Linked DNA regions of Arabidopsis thaliana. Each later gene encodes a partner of the first gene's protein in a complex. Each region holds a gene or a part of one and is shown in the gene's direction. Other genes may lie near its edges.

What was found. Proteins that work in one complex are often made in the same cells at the same time.
Region 2: the proteins of PFN2 (region 1) and AFH1 are in contact, whole or in part, in a crystal structure (PDB 6IQJ), measured with the Arabidopsis thaliana proteins. Residues at the interface, in NP_194664.1 of Arabidopsis thaliana: Met1 (codon at 2,374), Ser2 (codon at 2,377), Trp3 (codon at 2,380), Tyr6 (codon at 2,389), His10 (codon at 2,401), Trp33 (codon at 2,470), Gln99 (codon at 3,257), Tyr125 (codon at 3,335), Leu126 (codon at 3,338), Ser129 (codon at 3,347), Leu131 (codon at 3,353); in NP_189177.1 of Arabidopsis thaliana: Pro527 (codon at 4,184), Pro528 (codon at 4,187), Pro529 (codon at 4,190), Pro530 (codon at 4,193), Pro531 (codon at 4,196), Pro532 (codon at 4,199), Pro533 (codon at 4,202), Pro534 (codon at 4,205).

The regions. Positions count from the first base shown.
Region 1 is NC_003075.7:14,447,762-14,452,261, forward strand, and holds PFN2 (profilin 2), read left to right. Parts: upstream 1-2,126; 5' UTR 2,127-2,373; coding exon 2,374-2,496; intron 2,497-2,974; coding exon 2,975-3,112; intron 3,113-3,223; coding exon 3,224-3,358; 3' UTR 3,359-3,633; downstream 3,634-4,500. Other genes in the region: PRF4 (profilin 4), read left to right, coding at 1-88, 349-486, 572-706; AT4G29360 (O-Glycosyl hydrolases family 17 protein), read right to left, coding at 3,801-3,957, 4,048-4,090, 4,182-4,500. UniProt on the Arabidopsis thaliana protein: Binds to actin monomers and regulates the organization of the actin cytoskeleton. At high concentrations, profilin prevents the polymerization of actin, whereas it enhances it at low concentrations.
Region 2 is NC_003074.8:9,250,336-9,257,431, reverse strand, and holds AFH1 (formin homology 1), read left to right. Parts: upstream 1-2,348; 5' UTR 2,349-2,605; coding exon 2,606-4,479; intron 4,480-4,565; coding exon 4,566-4,771; intron 4,772-4,952; coding exon 4,953-5,197; intron 5,198-5,281; coding exon 5,282-6,112; 3' UTR 6,113-6,339; downstream 6,340-7,096. UniProt on the Arabidopsis thaliana protein: Might be involved in the organization and polarity of the actin cytoskeleton. Involved in polar pollen cell growth process by maintaining tip-focused cell membrane expansion for the polar extension of pollen tubes.

The DNA.
Region 1 (4,500 bases):
TGGCGATGGTCAAGGACACCACCTTACTGCTGCCGCTATCGTTGGTCATGACGGTAGCGTTTGGGCTCAGAGCGCCAACTTCCCTCAGGTATTTGATTTCATTGCGTCTGATCTCAATGTGATTTAGATCCTGATAGTGTTGCTATCCGATATGATATGTGTTTTTACAATGTGATTTAGATCATGCATCATGTTTTGATTAGATTCTATCAATGTTTGTCATGGGATATATATATAGTGTATTTTGTGTGTGTGTGTTTCTTTTTATATGTTTTGCATAGATTTGAAAACAAATGATGCATGTTGTCTCATGGTAATCGACTAATCGTGATTTGGTCTTTCATATAGTTCAAGGGACAGGAGTTCAGTGATATTATGAAAGATTTCGACGAACCGGGTCACTTGGCACCCACGGGATTATTCATGGCAGGAGCAAAGTACATGGTGATCCAAGGTGAGCCCGGGGCTGTAATCCGTGGCAAGAAGGTAACCTAATCAGTAGCTTCATGATCAGATATGCAAATACCATGTTGAAGAGGGTTCTAATTCAATATATGCTTCTTTCAATTAGGGAGCAGGAGGCATAACGATAAAGAAAACAGGACAGTCATGTGTGTTTGGGATCTATGAAGAGCCAGTGACACCAGGACAGTGCAACATGGTCGTCGAGAGGTTGGGTGATTACCTCCTCGAACAGGGTCTCTAGAATCTTCTTACAATGTTCCACCACCTACATTTTTTTATAAGGCCATTGTTTCTCCTATTTTTTTCCTTTGGGTGATTTGCATCTCTTTCTCTAATTGATATTATAAGTTTTGGGCTAATGGACCTTCCTGGTTTCTCCCCATAGCAAACTTTTAAGAAAGCTGAAGCCTAAAAGGCTTTTACTCTCTTTGCCTTGGTTTCTTATTTATATGCATGTTTTAGTTGTTTTCTCTTTGCTTTTTTGTCAATTGCATTCTGTCTACTACACTAAATATTAACGTATTGATTGAGAAAATTGCATTATCATAATCTATAGAAAATTGTATGTAGTGTAGTAGAGACATTAATCTCACAATACTAAAAACACTTTCAAAATTTACACGAGCATTTAACACATACATCAACACTCATTATTTACAACAGAAGAAAAAACTGATACGCAACGCAATCTTTCCTAGTGATTTCATTCGTAAGAAAGAAAAAATGAACATGAGAAAGAAAAATGGCAACAGGCAGAATTCATTCATCAACTTTAATCTTTAATAGGAAAGTAATAATAGTACAATTATGTCGGAAAATCATTCCCATCCCATCTGTCTTTATTATGTGCTAATCTAACAGCTCATCGAGAAATCGAATCTCAGTCTTTTTTCCCTATTATTACATTATCACTTAGATATAAGGAAATTTTTGTTATCTCACAATATTCACTTTGAATCAATACGATGCACATATAACAAATTAACAATAGCAAGTGATTGTTTCTCTTCAATAACTCAAAAACATTTTTTTTTTTTTTGGAATAGAAAAAGGTTTATTAACCATCTTTCTAAATTTTGGGTAATTAAGAAACATTTATTGACAATGACATTAGGAAAAGAGAACATTAATTGTAAAGGGTGGACCTAAATAATTGGAATATTTTGGTGTATGGCACACAATGCAAGAGCATATCCACCCTGTAAACAAATTATGGCCATACTTCGATCTCTTTTCTTTGATTTTGGAAATTAAATTCTCTAGTATTGTTTTTTTTAGAAAAGAAAAAAAAACTTTTGTATTGTTTATTTATGTAAACTTCATTTGTTCCAATAAAATCTAAAACGTTTTCACATTTGGTTTGACAATTTTATTTACACAAATTTTCAATATACTTTTAGCGTTAGATCAAATTATACCATGCAAGAATTATATGCATTTTCTATATGATCTTGTTTAAAAATAAAAACTGTAGAAATAATGTAAAACCCGAGAAATGAAATTGTTAATAGATTAAAAAAATCATTTCTTTTAACCGGATGCAAATTTTAATCATTTTAAAAATATTTTCTTTTGATTATCATTTTAAAATTATTTATCGACTTTCACACAAAACATTTTGAATTTCATTTGTATCTACTTTTTTTTTTTTTTTGGTATTTCTTTTAGCTGTCTTTATCAAATTCAGTAAATAAATAAAATATGTATTTTAATGGAATTTTTTGCAGTAGAAATTAAAAAAGAGTTTTTTTTTATTGGAAGGCTAAATCGTGTTATTAATAATTTAAGCTCAAAGGTTGTCCAAGTCTACAAACCAAAAGCACGCTACAGAAGAAGAGGAAGAAGAAGAAGAAGCAGAGACAACAAGAAGAAGAAGAAACAGTCTCATCTCGCCGGAGAAGAAGAAAGATGTCGTGGCAATCATACGTCGATGACCATCTCATGTGCGAGGTCGAAGGCAACCACCTCACACACGCCGCCATCTTCGGCCAAGACGGCAGTGTCTGGGCTCAGAGCTCAGCTTTCCCTCAGGTTTTTCTTCCTTCTTCTTCGCGTTTCTTCCGATCCTCTGTCTCAAATAAGTTCATCGATCTGATTCAATCGTCTGATTTAGGTTTATTCCTTGTGATCCGATCTGAGGAAACTTGGATCTGGTTTTGATTTGCTAGCTTCTGACTTGTTCTCTCTGACAATCTGATTTTCTCAGTGATTGATTGGAGTTTGATTCTGAGATTTTCATGGTTTCAGTAGTCAAATCTTGTCTATAGGTGTTTTGCTTGGCACAGAATCTTATCTCCTTTCAATTCATCAAATGATAAAACTTTTCACCAAATTCTTCAAAATTTGGTATTTTACTTGAATTTGAGATCTTAGGGTCATTGCATATGAATTGTCACCTCTGCTCAGTATTGTATAAACCATGTAAAGGATCTGTTGTATTGGTAGTAGTATCATTGCTCAGTCGGTTGAAGCTAATTGCCTACTTTGTTGTTCTTGTTCATGTATTTAGTTGAAGCCTGCAGAGATAGCAGGAATCAACAAAGACTTTGAAGAAGCCGGACATCTTGCCCCAACCGGGCTATTCCTTGGCGGTGAGAAGTACATGGTTGTCCAAGGTGAGGCTGGAGCCGTCATCCGAGGGAAAAAGGTAACATTTTTCATTCGAGAAGACTCTTTTTTTGTGGTTTTGATTGAGATAATGAATCAAAGGATCAGTCTTTTAGATCAGCAAGTTAAAGTCCATGCTTACTTCTTGCAGGGACCTGGTGGAGTCACTATCAAGAAGACTACTCAAGCTCTAGTCTTTGGTATCTATGATGAACCGATGACCGGAGGGCAATGCAACTTGGTCGTGGAGAGGCTCGGCGATTACCTTATCGAGTCTGGTCTCTAAGTTCACTCAAAGTGCTTCAAACAAATTTCATTTTTCGGGTTCTTTCTTCACTAGAGAAGCACCCTTCTGCCATGTATTGTGATTTGATTGTTGTTGTGCATCAAACAAAGTTATTATACTCTTAAAAAGAACAAAGAAACAATCATATTTGTTATGGTTTTGATCCTCTCCTATGATGGCTCTTATGTTTTTCTCTTGTACTGTATTTCGTAATGTATAATTACGCTTTGGAATAAAAATTTGAGTTTGTGATCATTTGTTCTCGATCAGCTCATAAAAATTTTCTAGGTTCAGTCACAAATACATCACCAAGCTTGACATTTCGGTTACGTGGTGAAAGAAATTACCAAGTTCAACAGTTGGGCTAAATTCTAGTTTAAGTTCGCTCACTACTCAAAACTTCATACAAAAGAAGGCGACAGTGCATTCATGTACACACTTGTCACCAAATACTCGAACAAACTACAAAACACGGCAACAAAACAGAGACTGCAACCACCATTTGTCTGAATGCTTCATTGGTTGACGAAGGCGAAGCCAAGGGGGAATCAATGGCAGTTATGTTTCCAGTGATATTACCCGCCATTGTTCTGTTGAATCTGCAAAAGTAACAACAACAACATCAGCAAGTAAGATTCGTTTTTCCAGTTCGATAGATTCAAGATTGAGTAATCAGAGAGAGAAGTCACCCGTCGGTAGCCGGAGCAATCATGTACAAACAGTTACCATAACCTGCAATTTCGAGAGCTCAAATGAGACTACTATGGCTTCACATTACTCTTAATGGATGTGTTTTGGAAAGTGTATGTATACAAATACTTACTTGGATCCTTGTCAACTTCAACGCTGGCTCCATTAAAGCTGCAATCTATGCTGCTTGCTCCGCTCTGTTGGTAATAAGTGTTGAATGCATAAGATGCGTGTGAGAGAACAGTATCTGGTTCAAAGCAAGGTTGGTCTGGTTGAACAGCTGAACAATCAACATTTCCAGGACCACAAGCCCAGTCCAATGCAGTCTGCAGTTCCGTTACCGAAGCTTGTGAAGAAGCAATACACCATTTCTTGGTTCCTCCTCCTCCTCCTCCTCCGATGGTTACTGTCGAGTTACCGTTGATAATTGGACTTGAACTTGGACTTGGACT
Region 2 (7,096 bases), on another chromosome or scaffold:
GATTATGGTCTTTTGTTGATTTTGATGTTCAGTTTTGCGTGTGTTTAATGTGTAATTAATAAATTTATATCTATTTTATATAGTTATAATTTTTTTTGATTAAATTTATCTATAATTCGAAATATCAATTTTACTATAATATGAATATTTATATACCTATTATTCAACTATTTCACTATCATGAAAACATACAACATCATTTTATGATATATTAATATGTAATTATATTACTTATGTATTTTGAAACTTGTTTAACTTAATTTTAACAAACAATTCTTTATTCCATATATTCTTTCGTCATCTAGTACACCAACCACATCATGATATGCTAGCAATTTAAGTCAACACTTTAATTCTGTTCCTTTGCATATAGCCGTTCCTTTGCATATAGCCATATAGATTCTCATATTTCTGTGTGGATATGTCTAATGCCTCGGATGACCATTACGTGAAAACATTGTATATCAATGTTATCAAGTTATCAGACCGCACAAAAATAAACATAAAGAAGGTCATATGATAAATAAGATTCACATAAAACGTAATAATAAGAAAATATCCAACTAAAATTACTAAATTAATATGAGGTTAGATAGCAAACATCTAAACTACAACACACGTAAATGTTAGCCATTATGGATTAATAACTATTGATAAATTTTTTTTAAAAAATAAGTAAAATAGAATGAAAGTAGTACTTGATACATTATTATGATTTTTTATTTATTGAATGTTTTTAGAAAATTCACTTTAAGAGTGAGATTAATAGAAAATGTAACACAACAAAAAACTTTTAATTTTTCCTCAATTAATTTTACTAATTTGTTTATTTAATTAATGTAGAATGACACATGTCATTTTCTTGTATGATCACTCATATGAAGAGAGTTGACCAACTTTCATATATATGATTCATCACTCTTACAATTTCAACTAAATATTTAGGGCATTTTCATCCACGAGAAATCCATAAAGTTTCTCAAACAAAAAAATATTAATATTATATTATAATTTGATTATTTGATTAAAAAAATATTTTTGTTAAAAAATTAAACCAATAGTAAAAAGAAAATTGTCATGATGGATCGTAAAAAGTATCTCAAAGTTTCTGAAGCGAGAAACTTTCTACAATCTCTCTTTTACTTTTATTATTTTTATTTTTTTAACTATGAAAAATTCTTATGAGATACTACCAATGGAGATAGTTTTAGAGGTTCTTCTATAACCATCCGCTATGGTGTAAAATAAAAACTCATCCACAAACGTAAAACAACTACTCATCCATCCGCAATGATTTTCTTTTTTTTGAAACACTATATAAATTTTAAAAATAAAACGATGAGACTACTTATAAGGTATTTTTGCATATAAAAGTATAAAGTTCAATTTTGTGTGTCGGTGGTTTCCTGATACTCTTGTACTCTTACATTTTCAGTAGCTTTCCCACGTGACCAATTATTTTACTCCCTTTCTTAGTCCAATTATGGTTTTCTAGCACCTCTTTTTATTTGAACTTTTATATGAACTATTAATAGTTCACTTTATAGTTTTTCTTAACATTCACAGGCCCACAAATTTTACAAGAATCAGACATTATTTGCTTTAAATTTGATAAATTTTGCAGTCCTAGTCCTGGTAAATTCAGTATTTCTGTCATATTCAATACCATCAATTTCTAGTGCCATTTTTATGATTGCAAAATCCAACAAAAACAAACAAAACCATGTTGTGGTCTAATGTTTGTTGCCCCAAAACAGAAAGAGGATTCACACAGTCGACATTTGCATAAGACGCAGGAAGTATAACTGGCTTATTAAGAAGATTTAAGGGACGCATTTAGAGATATGGTTATTGCATGAACCATGATGTAGCCATTTAAAAGTTTATGGTTAACTTAACTATTTGCAACGATCGATATTTTATCAAACGATGCTACTGTATAAGTTTCTCATCATATGTCCTAATTCCTCCTTATTATCTACACCAGTTAGACCTGTCCTCCAATTTTACGCTTTGTACATACAGCATTCGGCGAAAGCACATGAACCGACCATTTACACATCCTGAGACAGTGTCGGTCAAAATAAAGTAAAGAACTCAGCACAATACACCCACTACCACTTCCTCCTCCTCAAACATTAACACACCATTATTTTATGTTTTCTTTATTACAGACGTCGTCAAACCGCCGTAATAACTTTTTAATAAAATAAAAATCCACTCGCATTTTTATTTTCAACATTGTGCGTACGGTGCAATTCAATGAACAGTGTTTACTTTCAGTGTGTACACTTCTGCGGACTATTACAAAGTCCACGTCTTATCCTACGTGTTATAATCTCATATGTTACTGTCTGAAATGGACCCCACTACGTAAAAATAAAATTAAGAATCAACCACTCTTCTTCCATCACCTCTTTTGGCTTTCTCTCTACTCTCTCTACTACTCTCTCACCATCACTGAGTTAAGAGAACAAACCAAAAACAAAATTATCAAACCATCACCAGCAGAATCTTAGCTGGATTCATCACTCTATTCAAAAAGTTTCTCTCTTCTCTTTTCTCAGATCTTGAACTCTTGAAGAAGAAAGAAGAAGATAACACAATGCTCTTCTTCTTATTCTTCTTCTACTTACTCTTATCTTCATCCTCCGATCTAGTCTTCGCCGACCGTCGTGTACTCCACGAACCATTCTTCCCTATAGATTCACCACCACCGTCACCACCATCACCACCACCACTTCCTAAACTACCATTCTCTTCAACCACTCCTCCATCTTCATCAGACCCAAATGCTTCTCCTTTCTTCCCTTTATACCCTTCATCTCCACCACCACCTTCTCCAGCCTCCTTCGCTTCTTTTCCGGCGAATATCTCATCTCTAATCGTCCCTCACGCCACTAAATCCCCACCTAACTCCAAAAAACTCCTTATCGTCGCTATCTCCGCCGTTTCCTCCGCTGCTTTAGTCGCTCTACTTATCGCTTTACTCTATTGGCGAAGAAGCAAACGTAACCAAGATCTTAACTTCTCCGATGATAGCAAAACATACACCACCGACAGTAGCCGCCGTGTCTACCCTCCTCCTCCGGCAACGGCGCCTCCAACACGACGCAATGCGGAGGCTAGAAGTAAACAGAGGACCACCACGAGCTCCACCAATAACAACAGCTCTGAGTTTCTTTACTTAGGAACAATGGTGAATCAAAGAGGAATCGATGAACAATCTCTTAGTAATAATGGATCAAGCTCAAGAAAACTTGAATCTCCAGATCTTCAACCACTTCCTCCATTGATGAAACGAAGTTTCCGTTTAAATCCAGATGTTGGTTCAATCGGAGAAGAAGATGAAGAAGATGAGTTTTACTCTCCACGTGGCTCACAAAGCGGGCGAGAACCGTTAAACCGGGTCGGACTTCCGGGTCAAAATCCTAGATCTGTTAACAATGACACTATCTCTTGCTCATCTTCAAGCTCTGGTTCACCAGGAAGATCAACATTTATCAGTATCTCTCCTTCAATGAGTCCTAAGAGATCTGAACCAAAACCGCCGGTTATCTCCACACCAGAACCGGCGGAGTTAACCGATTATAGATTTGTTCGGTCTCCGTCACTGTCGTTAGCTTCTTTATCGTCGGGATTGAAAAACTCCGATGAAGTAGGATTGAATCAAATCTTTAGATCTCCGACGGTTACATCTCTAACAACTTCACCGGAGAATAACAAAAAAGAGAACTCTCCATTATCATCTACTTCAACTTCACCGGAACGACGACCAAATGATACACCAGAAGCTTACTTGAGATCTCCGTCGCATTCTTCTGCTTCTACATCACCGTATAGATGTTTTCAGAAATCTCCGGAGGTCTTACCGGCGTTTATGAGTAATCTCCGGCAAGGTTTGCAATCTCAGTTACTATCTTCTCCTTCTAACTCTCATGGAGGACAAGGTTTCCTTAAGCAGTTAGATGCATTACGTTCTCGTTCACCGTCGTCGTCTTCTTCTTCTGTTTGTTCTTCACCGGAGAAAGCTTCTCATAAGTCACCAGTTACATCTCCTAAGTTATCTTCCCGGAATTCGCAGTCTCTATCATCTTCTCCGGATAGAGATTTTAGTCATAGCTTAGATGTATCACCACGGATATCGAACATTTCACCTCAAATTTTACAGTCTCGTGTGCCTCCGCCTCCTCCTCCTCCCCCACCGTTGCCGTTGTGGGGACGACGGAGTCAGGTGACTACTAAAGCGGACACAATCTCGAGACCGCCTTCTCTTACACCGCCTTCACATCCTTTTGTGATCCCATCTGAAAACTTACCAGTGACTTCGTCTCCTATGGAGACTCCAGAGACGGTTTGTGCGAGTGAGGCGGCGGAGGAAACTCCGAAACCGAAGCTAAAGGCGTTACATTGGGATAAAGTTAGAGCAAGTTCGGATCGTGAGATGGTTTGGGATCATCTTCGATCAAGCTCTTTCAAGTGAGTTAATGTGACATACTCGTTTATATGATACTATATGCTTTTAGTGAGAATGTGGTTGTTGAGATTATGAATGTGGTTTGCAGATTAGATGAGGAGATGATTGAGACGTTGTTTGTGGCGAAGTCGTTAAACAACAAACCAAATCAGAGTCAGACAACTCCAAGATGTGTTCTCCCGAGCCCGAACCAAGAGAACAGAGTCCTGGACCCGAAGAAGGCTCAGAATATTGCCATCTTGCTTCGTGCACTTAATGTCACTATAGAAGAAGTTTGTGAGGCTCTTCTTGAAGGTAAACTATGCTGTCACATACATAGTTTCTCATTTTCTTCTCCTTTGATCTCCAGAATTAGAGTTCTTATGCATTTGTTAATGGTTTTTCGATGATATGGTTGAGTTATTCTGAAAGCTTTGCTTCTTTGATGGTGTGGAGATTCTTGGTTACATTGATGTTCTTAGTTATGCTTTTTCAGGCAATGCTGATACACTGGGGACTGAACTTCTTGAGAGCTTACTGAAGATGGCACCGACAAAAGAAGAAGAGCGCAAGTTGAAAGCGTACAATGATGATTCGCCTGTTAAGCTTGGACATGCTGAGAAATTCCTTAAGGCAATGTTGGACATCCCTTTCGCCTTTAAAAGAGTTGATGCAATGCTCTATGTAGCCAACTTTGAGTCCGAGGTTGAATACTTGAAGAAATCTTTTGAGACTCTTGAGGTATATATTACAAGCTATTCTCTCTCTTTTTACCATATGGTTGTATTGTAACAGATTATGACTTCATTTCTATTGTTTGTGTAGGCTGCTTGTGAAGAACTGAGGAACAGTAGGATGTTCTTAAAGCTTCTTGAAGCGGTTCTAAAGACAGGAAACCGTATGAACGTTGGAACAAACCGAGGAGATGCACATGCGTTCAAGCTTGATACACTTCTCAAGCTAGTCGATGTCAAAGGCGCTGATGGGAAAACAACTCTCTTGCATTTCGTTGTACAAGAGATAATCCGAGCAGAAGGCACACGTCTCTCAGGTAACAATACACAAACAGATGACATTAAATGCCGGAAACTAGGTCTCCAAGTTGTATCAAGTCTCTGTTCTGAGCTTAGTAACGTCAAGAAAGCTGCTGCGATGGACTCAGAAGTACTAAGCAGCTACGTCTCCAAGCTTTCTCAAGGCATTGCCAAGATCAACGAAGCAATCCAAGTCCAATCAACAATCACAGAAGAAAGCAACAGTCAGAGGTTTTCGGAATCGATGAAAACGTTTCTGAAAAGAGCTGAGGAAGAGATCATCAGAGTACAAGCTCAAGAGAGCGTAGCGTTATCACTTGTAAAAGAAATCACAGAGTATTTCCATGGAAACTCGGCTAAAGAAGAAGCGCATCCGTTTAGAATATTCTTGGTGGTTAGAGACTTCCTTGGAGTAGTAGACAGAGTTTGCAAAGAAGTAGGGATGATAAACGAAAGAACAATGGTTAGTTCTGCTCATAAGTTTCCTGTTCCAGTGAATCCAATGATGCCACAACCTCTTCCTGGACTCGTTGGACGAAGACAATCTTCTTCTTCTTCGTCGTCGTCTTCAACCTCTTCGTCTGATGAAGACGAACATAACTCAATCTCATTAGTTTCTTAAGGTGAGATCTCAGCTTTGTCTGTGCATGTTGTTGTAAAAAGTATCCAGTATTGGATTGTTTTGTCATAATAGATTTAAATATATATATATAGAGGGAGGGAATTAATGACAGAAACAAAGAAGTGTTTTTCTTTTCTGCATTTGTGTAAAAAAAATAATATAGGTTTACCTTAAAATTTGTTCATCTTAAATTAATAATTTAAGAATCAAATAAATTTGTTTATCTGAACCGTGTGTACCACGAAAGAATGTGAGAGCAAACATATTACTTACTTACCCTTCGTTGCTGAATATAATGATCATTATAAATCACTACCTCCAGTACCTTCTACCTTCTTCAAAGAACCTTGTTGGATTTGAACCAAAGTTGGAACATAATTGACGAGAGGTGAGCATCTAGATTCTGCATCGTGATGATGATCCACTTTTATCTATTTATTTTCTCTCAAAATGTTTAAGAAAGTGTTGGAGACCTCATTTTACCAGGTAACACTAAAACTTTATTCTCGGGGTCTGACGAAGAATAACAAGTTTACTAACGCTCAAAAATTACATTGCAAAAAGAATATTAAATACAAGAATTACAACAAGAACAAGGGTATTCAAATTACAAATTCTATAGCAAAAAAAAATAAATCTTAAAAAATGTAATAACTGATAACAAACAATTTTACAAGTTCACTAACGCTCGAAATACATTGCAAAAAGAATATTAAACAAGAATTGAGTTAAAATTGTAGAAATTGTTGTGAAAAAATCAATATTGAAATTGTGTTGGAGAGGAAGCAAACTCTATGTGATCGTCAAGTTGTGGAGTTTATGTAATCGTGATTCGTGATCGTGAAGTTGTGGAGTTTATGTAATCGTGATTCGTGACCGTGAAGTTGTGGAGTTTATGTAATCGTGATTCGTGATCGTGAAGTTGTGGAGTTTAAGTGATCATGATTCGTGACCGTGAAGTTGTGAAGTTTGTTTTTGCAATTT